3 linked regions of the Saccharomyces cerevisiae S288C genome follow. Each later gene encodes a partner of the first gene's protein in a complex. Each region holds a gene or a part of one and is shown in the gene's direction. Other genes may lie near its edges. The genes, in order: ARP10, ARP1 and JNM1.

Region 1 (3,505 bases):
ACAACATTAACGATAGAATCCATATTTCGAAATGTTTCGAAGACAAATCCCTTTCTTTTACAATCACTGTATGCTGACTTTTGTTATTGATATTTTCACCAGACATTTCTTTAGCCACAATGATTTTGTTTTACCATATCTTTGAAGCACGGCGCAAACTCCGAATATCGCATAAAGAAGGTTGAGAGAATGTTTTCTACCTTTAAAAGAAGAAAAGAGATCCTTCGAAAACGGTCGATCGATAATAACTGTAATTGGCATTTCAAATAAATAGAGGATAGTTAAAATAATCCTCGAGAAGCGATATCTCAATTAGATAATTAAGATCCATTTTTTTTTGAGGGAGGTTTACTCATCTTCTTGAAACTAGTGCATGAGTATAGTAAAATTAGTGTTTCTACTGGGGGCTACTTAAAAAAAAGTTACATACATTATAAGAAAATCTTTTTGTGTTAGTCTATTTAATAGTAATTCTCGTAATCAAATCTATCGGGCATAATCGCTGGGGCTACCACTGTCCAACCGTAAAGGGCATAACATATCCATGCACTAACTATTTTTACCCAAGAATAAAAATATGTTCTTCCTACGGGTATAAAATCACCTACATCATCCTGGGTAACGTTTATTGTTAGTAAAATTGCAATCCACTGGGTTGCCAGAAAGAATATAACGTGGAACAGAGTGTAATTGTACTTGGTTCCAGTCCTTTCATCATCATTTTGGTTATCCATTGCGCCTGTAGGAGATGATGTCCCTAACCAAGCGGTATCATATAAGGCACTTTCCGGTAAAGATCCTTCTTCTACAGCTTGTTTAATAGCTTCATACCTCAACTGATTTCTTGTCTGTCCACCTAGTCCTTCGTACTCGATATCATTCCCGAGATATATAGCACCATTAGTATTGGTGCCTTGAAAAGCACTATTAGCAGCGGCTCTAGTTGTGGTGTAAGCAATCGCAATAAAAGTAAATAAAGAGCCCAAAATGATACTAAACTTACGGGTTCCACTAGATCTAACCAACGGATTACACATTTTGTCATCCGGTTCGGAAGACATGGCACTCATTGTCAAATAAGTACAGTAAACAGAAACCATACTACTTTGGGCCAGCCCACTTTTAGGGTTGGCCTCTTGGATCTTAGGATTCACCGATAAGACAAGCGTTATAACAGTTAATATTAAATTGACTGTTACCGCTGTTTGATTCATGTTACATTGTTGATGACAAAACATAACATACATAACAACAGTCATGATAATCGATGCGGTATACATTGAAGTTGTCCCTAAAACCAAAAATCGTTGCCAGAATGAGGAATCTTCATCTTCTGACTCAACGTGACTAATACACGTTTCAGCCCACTCATGAGCGAAGTCTACTAATAATATAAGCCCAACCAGGATGAAAATTGCTCCACTAGGGACTGACACCCACTTGGAAAAGAAAATATAAAAGTCATTGGGGATGACAAATGACAAAACAATGAGACATAAATACAGTATAAATTTTAAACTCCACCACGAATTCTGTAATGCTGCTCTTACGTCATTAGTCGACTTTACGCCCGTTAGTACAAGCGCCAATATCAAATGTAAGCATCCCAATGCAAAATTCAACCTATGAACTGTAAAAAATCCACATTCCCCAGTCCCAGTACATGTCTTCCCTGGCCATAGGATTGATTTGTTCGCAGAATAGGACACCCATGATATCAATGAGTTAAGTAAAAGCCAAACGGCGTACAGAAGTCTTGTCCCTAAAGAAGAAGATCCTAGGGAAGATGCAGTCTTAGTCACCAAGTTTGAGCAGCAACCTCCAAAACAGGACGCCACGAATGAGCCCGCCATGCTAACTGGCAAAGAAATTACGGCACCCATGGTAGATTGTTGTACTTTGTGATGGGTATTTTGATATGAAGTAAATCTGTTGTTTGATTATAAACTTCGTTTTGGGGGCATAAAGACCTCAAAAACAGTTCTCTTTTTTGTTAGAATCTAATTGTCGGAACTTCTATTGTAGCCGAGAGACATAAACAAAAGAGGTACAAATACTACAATATTCGACACTGTGAAATGATAAAAAAAATCTACCCAGGAAACCCTATGAGGAAATGTCGAATACTATTGTGATAGTCTATTTGGGAGCTAACAGAATCGAAATTGGAAGAAGTGCTGATGCGTGTCCACAAGAAATTATCGCCTGGAAAACAGGTAGTATTAATGAAAAAAATAGGGAAGAATTGAAAAAAATATTTGAACATTACTTCCAAATTTGCAACATCTTGGGAAATCGAGAAGTACAAGTGTTGATACTAGAAGATATCTTCATTTCTGTAGTAGAGAAAAGAATTATTTGTAGCATCTTGTTTAAGGAATTTGACTGCGCTCACGTTTCGTTTGTCCCCAGGGCCATTGTGCACTGCTTATCCTGTAATACAAGGAATGCCATAGTTATAGATATAGGTACCAATTATACTACATGCGTACCTATTTTCGACCTTAGACCTTTGCAACAGTTCATAAAATACTCAAAACGAGGCAAAAGACAGGTTGAGTCAAGAATTCCTCTCCCGGGCAGTCTCTACATGCCAATATTTTTTGACGAAGAATACAACTCTAAAAATTGTGAAGTAGATGAAACCCCGGTAATAAATCTTGTCAAAAATATTGTAGAGTCACTTCCTATCGACTTGAGAAGGCCACTGAGAGAAAATATCATTATAGTAAACATTGAAGAGGCGTATGAAACAGTAATAAGGAATTTATTCAAGTTAAAAATGGATACGTCCAAAATCCAGTTTCCTAAAAATTACTGGCAGGCTGGTTCTGCATGCGCGAAAATACTTCTGCACTATAAGGGGAGCAACATTGTAGGAATAGAAAGAGATGAGTTTTATAACAATCCTCATATTGCTCCTGATTGGTTTGATTATTACTTCAGAACTGGAGTGAAGCGCTTACAATAGGCTTTATGTATATGTAGAAAACAAAAACAGGAAGTGTTCTCTTCACCAAACTGCGTCTTTCCACAACAATTAGCCTTATTGAGCTTTTGATGTAAAAGTTTATGATAGTAAAGAGCTATTTTTAACAATAGAGGAGAAAAAATAAAAATGGTCTCTAGCGGGATCGAACCGCTGATCCCCGCGTTATTAGCACGGTGCCTTAACCAACTGGGCCAAGAGACCAATTTGGATCGAAAGTGTTGTATCTCAAAATGAGATATGTCAGTATGACAATACGTCATCCTAAACGTTCATAAAACACATATGAAACAACCTTATAACAAAACGAACAACATGAGATAAAACACGGCCTTCCCTAGCTGAACTACCCAAACGTATAAATGCTTGAACAATTAGTTTAGATCCGAGATTCCGCGCTTCCACCACTTAGTATGATTCATATTTTATATAATATATAAGATAAGTAACATTCCGTGAATTAATCTGATAAACTGTTTTGACAACTGGTTACTTCCCTAAGACTGTTTATATTAG
Region 2 (3,675 bases), on another chromosome or scaffold:
GCTCTTCGATATACCTATCAGGATTAGCTCCTAATGGGGAATCCGCCACAGATTTATCCCAAAGCAGTAGGTCGTTATGTCTCACAAACCGTGACGCTGAAATCAATGACGATGAAAGCGCTACTGAGACCGATGAGGACGAAAATGACGGTGAAACCGATGAATATGCTGGCGATGATACTAATGATGATACTGATGACAGTAATATTGGTTATGCTTATGGCAGTGAAAGTGATTATTCATGTTTAATTGAAGAACGAATAAGAAATCGAAGGCGAGCATCTTCTACTCTAAGTTGCTTCTCCAATATACCTTACGGAACGGATGATATTAAATGGAAACCAGCTATTAAGGAAATTTCAAGAAGGCGTTATTTGAGGGATTCTCTGAAGTGCATCAAACCATTTCTAGATAGTAACGACTGTTTGGGTAAGGTTATCTATATTCCAGTTTCGGGACCAACCTTTGAAACAAGTAATAAAATTCACTTTAGCAACCGCCAGAGCTTACAGAAGCAGAAGAATCATTTTTTAAAAGGCTTCATCGTGGGACCTACGGCGTTGATAGAACTTAATTGTAAAAATAAGAATGCAATTGTTGGAACAACAAAGGACGCTGAAGATCATGGGGAGGACGACGGTGACGGTGATGATGGTGAGGATGATGATGACGACGACGACGATGATGATGATGATGACGACGACGAAGACGACGACGATGATGATGATGATGATGATGACGACGACGATGACGATGATGATGGACAGATTACTGCATAAGCTGTGATGCAGTAATCTTGTTTTTGCAGAATTAATATCATGACTAAAAGTATATATATTATCATCGGATATATGCTACATGATGAGGAGTTTTTCTATTTCTTTTTTATTTCATTCTATACACTTTGGATCGTGTTTTTTCTTTTGCACTTGAGTTTCTTTTCAACATTATCATTCGGTATATTTCACGATTTTGACACCGATGTTTACATAAAAGTGGGTAATTATATTTTGCATTTTCTCGAATTGAGTAAAAATAGTAACCTTTTAAAGAATTCTTCAGAAATGTTAAAGCATTTCCGATTGGCATCATTGATGTATATGTACGTATATACTCAGATGATTTGCCCCTCGTTACTTGGCATCAGGAATTAGCAAGGGCTGTAAAAAATAAGTTTAAATATATATAAATGGTTGCGAACTAAGACAGTATTGTTTTCAACTATTACTTTGTCATTGACTAGTCTATACAAACTAATGATTTTCTACTAGGTCTTACTTCGATTTCTCGACACCGTACTCCAAGAGCTAAAGCTTTCAATACGTATGGATTGCTTCGTTGCTCAGAAAGGTTAACATTAATCATTTTAAGGTTTTTGTTTATAGACAGTACTTTATTTTCGCTTCATTTTTCCAGTTTATATTTCAATTTAACAAAGGCAATGCCTCTAATTTCAAACAAGCAACATAATACAGTATTTATTGATCAACGTTTGATTAGAAGTTGAATTTTGAATGGGTATCGTCTGGTAATTCCAAAGAATAAAAGAAATACCTGTTTTACCATGATAAACAGTGTTTATTATACCACGTTAAAAATCATTTCTTGAAGGTAACGCTTTCATCAACCTATAATAAGACTACAGAAAAAAGCTCATAAAAGAATGCTAAGTAGCATAATGTTCTGAACAAGAGCTCAAAGCAAAGGACACAGTACACCTGTGTGACGGTGAGTTTCCTATTGCCTTCTCTTTTTCCGTTTGTATTAATCTTTTCAAGAAAAAGTTCATTTCCAAAGTGGCCATTTTCGCGATGCACATCAATAATGATAAACACCTTTATTGAATAATAGCGAAGCAAATAGCAGATATTCCCAATAAAACAGCAAATTAATAAAAGGGCATAGACCAAGGAGTACATGCTAATGCTATACCACGAATTGAGGAATTAGAAAGAAAGTTAGCCAATGGACCAGCTAAGTGACAGCTATGCTTTGTACAATCAACCGGTAGTGATCGACAATGGTTCTGGGATCATAAAAGCAGGATTTAGTGGTGAGGAAAGGCCTAAAGCACTGGAATATTGTCTCGTAGGAAATACCAAATATGATAAAGTTATGCTCGAAGGTCTGCAAGGAGATACATTTATTGGAAACAATGCCCAAAAACTGCGTGGATTATTAAAATTACGATACCCCATAAAGCACGGCGTGGTGGAAGATTGGGATTCTATGGAACTAATATGGTCATATGTGTTAAATGAAGTCCTACAGTTGCAAAATATAGGTGAGCATCCTTTATTAATTACGGAAGCCCCGATGAATCCTTTGAAGAATAGAGAGCAGATGGCTCAAGTATTGTTCGAGACCTTTGACGTATCGGCTTTGTACGTTTCAAACCCTGCTGTTCTGTCATTATATGCTAGTGGGAGAACTACAGGTTGTGTAGTTGACTGTGGTGAAGGATACTGTAGCACTGTTCCCATATATGACGGCTTTGCATTACCTGCGTCTATGATGAGGATGGATATTGGAGGAGCAGATATCACAGAGCAGTTACAATTTCAACTACGGAAATCAGCTGGTGTTTCGTTGTTTTCCAGCAGTGAACGAGAGATTGTTCGCACGATGAAAGAGAAAGTTTGTTATTTGGCCAAGAATATTAAAAAGGAAGAGGAGAAATACTTACAAGGTACTCAAGATTTAATCTCGACATTCAAATTGCCCGACGGGAGGTGTATAGAGGTGGGGAATGATCGATATCGTGCTCCAGAAATATTATTTTCACCTCAAATCATCGGCTTAGGGTACGATGGATTATCTGATATGTGCATGCAATCTATTTGGAAAGTCGATCTGGATTTAAGGAAACCTTTACTGTCATCGATAATCCTAAGTGGCGGAACTACAACGCTTAAAGGCTTTGGAGACCGAATGCTATGGGATTTGGAGGCATTAACCAAAGGAACATCCAAGATAAAGATTATAGCCCCTTCAGAAAGAAAATATACTACATGGATTGGTGGTTCTATTTTAACGGGGTTATCTACCTTTCAAAGACTTTGGACCAAAAAGTCAGATTGGCTAGAGGACAGTACCCGTGTTTATTCGAACCTAATGTAAGAAACAGAGTCGTTAGATTTTTCAAGCATATTTGTTATAAATAGCCATTGATACGTTTATATTATTTTTACAAAAAAAGGTAATTAAACATGCATGAACAACAAAATTGATAGTAGAAGAGACGGCAACAAAGGTTTAAAACGAGAAAGGAAATTTAAAACAGTAGAAACCAAAAGTTGATATGCGGCTTCAGCCGTTCTGAACCTTCAAGATGGTGTTCGGGTGTGATTTATTTAAACACAGTAGTATCTGTCACCAAAGTCACCCAACCCTGGAACTAGATACTTGTTTTCATCTAGACCTCTGTCGAGGGCACCAGTAACAATTCTGACCTCTGGGAAGGCGGCATGGTATTTTTCAATCCCTTCCTTACTACAGATTAGGTTTAAGAAGTAAATTCTCTCTGGCTTAACACCTCTCTTAATCAAGACTTCTGTAGCCATGATAGCACTACCACCGGTGGCCAGCATTGGGTCTAATAGGAAGACATACCTTTCAGATATATCCTCTGGTAATTTTTCGTAGAATAACTTTGGTAAAGCAGTCTCCTCGTCC
Region 3 (3,684 bases), on another chromosome or scaffold:
CTATTGGCCTTGGGCAATATTTTGTTTTTAATTGGAGTATTCTTAATAATCGGTTCACAAAAGACATATATTTTTTTTACCAGGCCAAACAAAAGGCGCGGTTCACTATTTTTCCTAGTTGGTGCCTTCTTAATACTGTTGAAATGGACATTTTTGGGCTTTATAATTGAATCTCTAGGTATTATAGGTCTCTTTGGTGATTTTTTTGGCGTCATCGTACAATTTTTGAGATCAATGCCCATAATTGGTCCCATACTTTCTCACCCAGCAATCGCTCCAATAGTAGATAAATTAGCGGGAGTTAGGGTTCTGCCAGTATAATGGTAAAATTTTGTATGTGAATATCATAGATTAATTTTTTCGAACTTTCTATAGGTATAAAGTAAAAATAATAATATTTACATGATTAACGTTGTCCTCACAAATTTATGATATTGACTCGACAAAATCTAACACAGTGGAATCATCACCATATTGACCTACTACCTGTAAGCCAATCGGGGTCTTCTCTTTTAAAGGCATTGATAAACTTGGTAGTCCAGCCAATGACATTGGGACAGTAAAGACATCGTTTATATACGAGTTAGCCGGAGATTTGGCTTCCTCTTCTTCGAAGTCCCTTATGGATCCAGGAAGCTTGGACGATGTGGGAACTATCAGTAGATCTAGGCCGTCTGGATTTCCCTTAGAATTAGTTAAAACATTTGGAAATCTGAAGATCCCGTCAAATTCATCGATCAAATTAACTCGTAGCTTTTCTGCCTTAATAAAATTGTTCTTAAATGCATCTGAACAAAGATTATAATTACCTAGAATGATTCTATTCTTAACTTCTGTTCCGAATTTGGACCTAGTAGGTGCGAATAAAATACCGTCTTTTATATCGAGTTCTGAATCTCTGTATCCATATCTGATACCATCATACCTTGATAAATTGGAAGCCGCTTCAGCGGGTGATAGCGTATAATAAATCGGTAAACAGTTTTTTACAGATGGAATGGATACAGGGTATATTTCAAGCCCTAAATTTATCAGCTTTTCTAGTAAGGATAAATATAATCTGTGGAACCCAATGGGCATACTTTCATGGCTAAATTCCTTTACAATTCCTACCTTTAAAGGTCTCCTAACCTTTTTATTCCCTTCTATCAATTCACGCAATTCCACACTTAAGGAAGTGGGATCTTTCATGTCATATTTATCGAGCGTATGAAATACTTTTCGCAAGACGTTTATCTTTTTGCTAAGTATGCCAACAGTGTCTAAAGATTGAGAATACGCTATTACGCCAAATCTTGACAACCGTCCATAGGACGGCTTGAATCCTAAAACAGATCCATAGCATGCGGGGAGCCTAACGGAGCCACCAGTATCTGTTCCCAAGGCAAAATCGACTAGATCGCAAGCAACGCTTGCAGCGGCTCCAGACGATGAACCTCCCATGATCTTCTTGTCCTCATGAGGATATAAAGGGTTAATTACGGGCCCTCTTATTGAATGTACTCCCCCAGAACCCATTCCAAATTCATCTAAATTTGTCTTGCCTAAGATATGCACTCCTGCCTGTTTTAATAGTTTCACTACTGTTGCATCGAAGGGAGACTTGAAATTCTCAAGTATATGTGAGGCACATGTGGTTGGAAAATCTTTTGTAACTATATTATCCTTGATACTGGCAACGCAACCTGTCAATGTTTCTTTTGTACCTTTTTTATTTGTGATTGAATAAGGAGATGGATTGATACTAGTGAAAATATTATATTTTGATTGAAAACTAGATAATCTTTCGATTGATTCTTTTAAGGAGCGTTTCAGTGGCATTTTTGTATAATCAAAGTTAGGACTCCAATTGAGGGGCCATCTTTCCAGCACAAATAATAGTGTTTACAAGTATAGATGTACTATTACTTTTTTGGGAGCCAATGCATTTCAAAAAAAAAAAGAAGAGCAGATAAGTCATGAGGCTAAGAAAGATAAAGAAATCTACTGGTTGATGAACGTCATAGATTTAAGTGATCCTGCCATCAATGTGGATTATGATAGCTTGATTGGCATTGACAATGAGGAATCTCAAGAAATTTTTGAAAATGAAGTGAAGGAAGATGGACAACAAGAAGAGCAGGAAGAAGCATCTTCAAGAAAAGATGGGCTCATCGTTGAACCAGGGAGAGATGTTGAGAGTTTGAGAAGGGCTATTCGAGATCAGTTGCTTTTCAAGATACATAGACAAAACCAATCAGACTGTGCAGATGCGAGAAAGTTGAGTAACGATGAAGAAGATGAAAGTCGGCAACAGAAATTAGAAAGAATAAGAGAAGAATTGGAGGAGTTGAAAATAGAAAATTTAACATCTGAAATGCAAACTGAAATCAAGGAATTGTGCGAAATTCAATCAAAATTGGCGACGGAATCATCTAGTAGATTGACAAATTTGAGGAAGAAGCTTCTCGAAACATATGAAGGCCAAGATACCGTCATATTGCCAAACATAATTCTTGATACGAGTAATATCAAAAGATTGCAAAAGTTAGATCAGAAAATATCCCTAATGGAACGTTTTGTTGGCATACCAGAAGCTTTGGAGGCAGAAGAAGATAGGAAATCGGTTCATAGTAAAGTCAATGAACTATATAGAAGTATTCAACTTTTACAAGGCGATGATAAGGCGGAAGGAAAGCTGCAAAAGTTCCGGGATAGACTCGTAGAACTGAACGAGGAATTTGAAAACTCATTGTTAGGCAAGAAAATACAACAGGACTTGAGGTTGAAAGATGACACCGTGAGCAAGCTTGTTATGCCCGAAAACAAAGTAAAGGAGATAAATAGTATGTATTCCATGTTCAAGCAATATCAAGATTCACTACCACTGTTGGCGGAGAGGATGAAAAGTCTCAATAAAATGAACAACAGGGTGATCGAGGTGTACGAAACCACGAAAGGGCTGGATTCACAAATAACCAGCATCCAAGAACAAGGAAAAGTTTGGCTAAAGGCTTTAAATGAGCTGGATAAAAAATTCGATGAACAAGAGGTTAAAATTCGCGAAAATATGGAGCAGATCAGGCGTAAAATTGATACCCTCGAAGACGAAGCTCTACAGAGAAATAGCAAATAAAAGGCGGAGAAATAATTTTATAAACCAATTTAATTTCATTCTTCATTTTTTCGTCTCCATATGACAAAAAAATTGAAAATATGTGTGTGTATGTATATATAATAATAGTAATAATAACAATATGAAATATGAAATATCCAAAATAAGAGCGGAAAACAGAAATTATCATAAAAAAGAAAAAAATAAAGTCTCTAAAGGGTATCAAGCGCTTATTTCTTCTTCATTCTACCAAACAATCCCTTCTTCTTCTTCTTTTGCTTTTCCTCAGTCTGTACGTGTTGTTGTGGCTGATACACTGCTTGTTCACCATACATTTGACTGGAAGCACCACCCACTTGCTGTGGCATACCGTTCGCATCGTAAGTCACAGCAGCACCAAACACAGGGAAATCAGGTCTTACGCGGAACCCGTAAGTTGGAGTCTCCAACTGTTGGGCCCAGACCGGGTCTCCGGAGACAGCATACTCGAAACTTCTTATAGTGTCCAAAGGTCTTTCGTCTCTTGCCCTAGTTGGATTCGATATATCTGCCTGTGTGATGGGTTGACCGAAAACATCACACAGAACATG

The links.
Region 2: ARP10 (region 1) and ARP1 share a complex: the UniProt entries of both Saccharomyces cerevisiae proteins name them as parts of the dynactin complex.
Region 3: ARP10 (region 1) and JNM1 share a complex: the UniProt entries of both Saccharomyces cerevisiae proteins name them as parts of the dynactin complex.

Annotation. Positions count from the first base shown.
Region 1 is NC_001136.10:664,888-668,392, forward strand, and holds ARP10 (Arp10p), read left to right. Parts: upstream 1-2,116; coding exon 2,117-2,971; downstream 2,972-3,505. Other genes in the region: SPO71 (Spo71p), read right to left, coding at 1-23; TMS1 (Tms1p), read right to left, coding at 462-1,883. UniProt on the Saccharomyces cerevisiae protein: Pointed-end-associated component of the dynactin complex which assists cytoplasmic dynein by increasing its processivity and by regulation of its cargo binding.
Region 2 is NC_001140.6:362,444-366,118, reverse strand, and holds ARP1 (actin-related protein 1), read left to right. Parts: upstream 1-1,965; coding exon 1,966-3,120; downstream 3,121-3,675. Other genes in the region: YHR131C (uncharacterized protein), read left to right, coding at 1-779; YHR130C (uncharacterized protein), read left to right, coding at 819-1,154; FUR1 (uracil phosphoribosyltransferase), read right to left, coding at 3,354-3,675. UniProt on the Saccharomyces cerevisiae protein: Core component of the dynactin complex which assists cytoplasmic dynein by increasing its processivity and by regulation of its cargo binding.
Region 3 is NC_001145.3:854,973-858,656, forward strand, and holds JNM1 (Jnm1p), read left to right. Parts: upstream 1-1,993; coding exon 1,994-3,115; downstream 3,116-3,684. Other genes in the region: GOT1 (Got1p), read left to right, coding at 1-321; glutamyl-tRNA(Gln) amidotransferase subunit HER2, read right to left, coding at 427-1,821; GSR1 (Gsr1p), read right to left, coding at 3,325-3,684. UniProt on the Saccharomyces cerevisiae protein: Component of the dynactin complex which assists cytoplasmic dynein by increasing its processivity and by regulation of its cargo binding.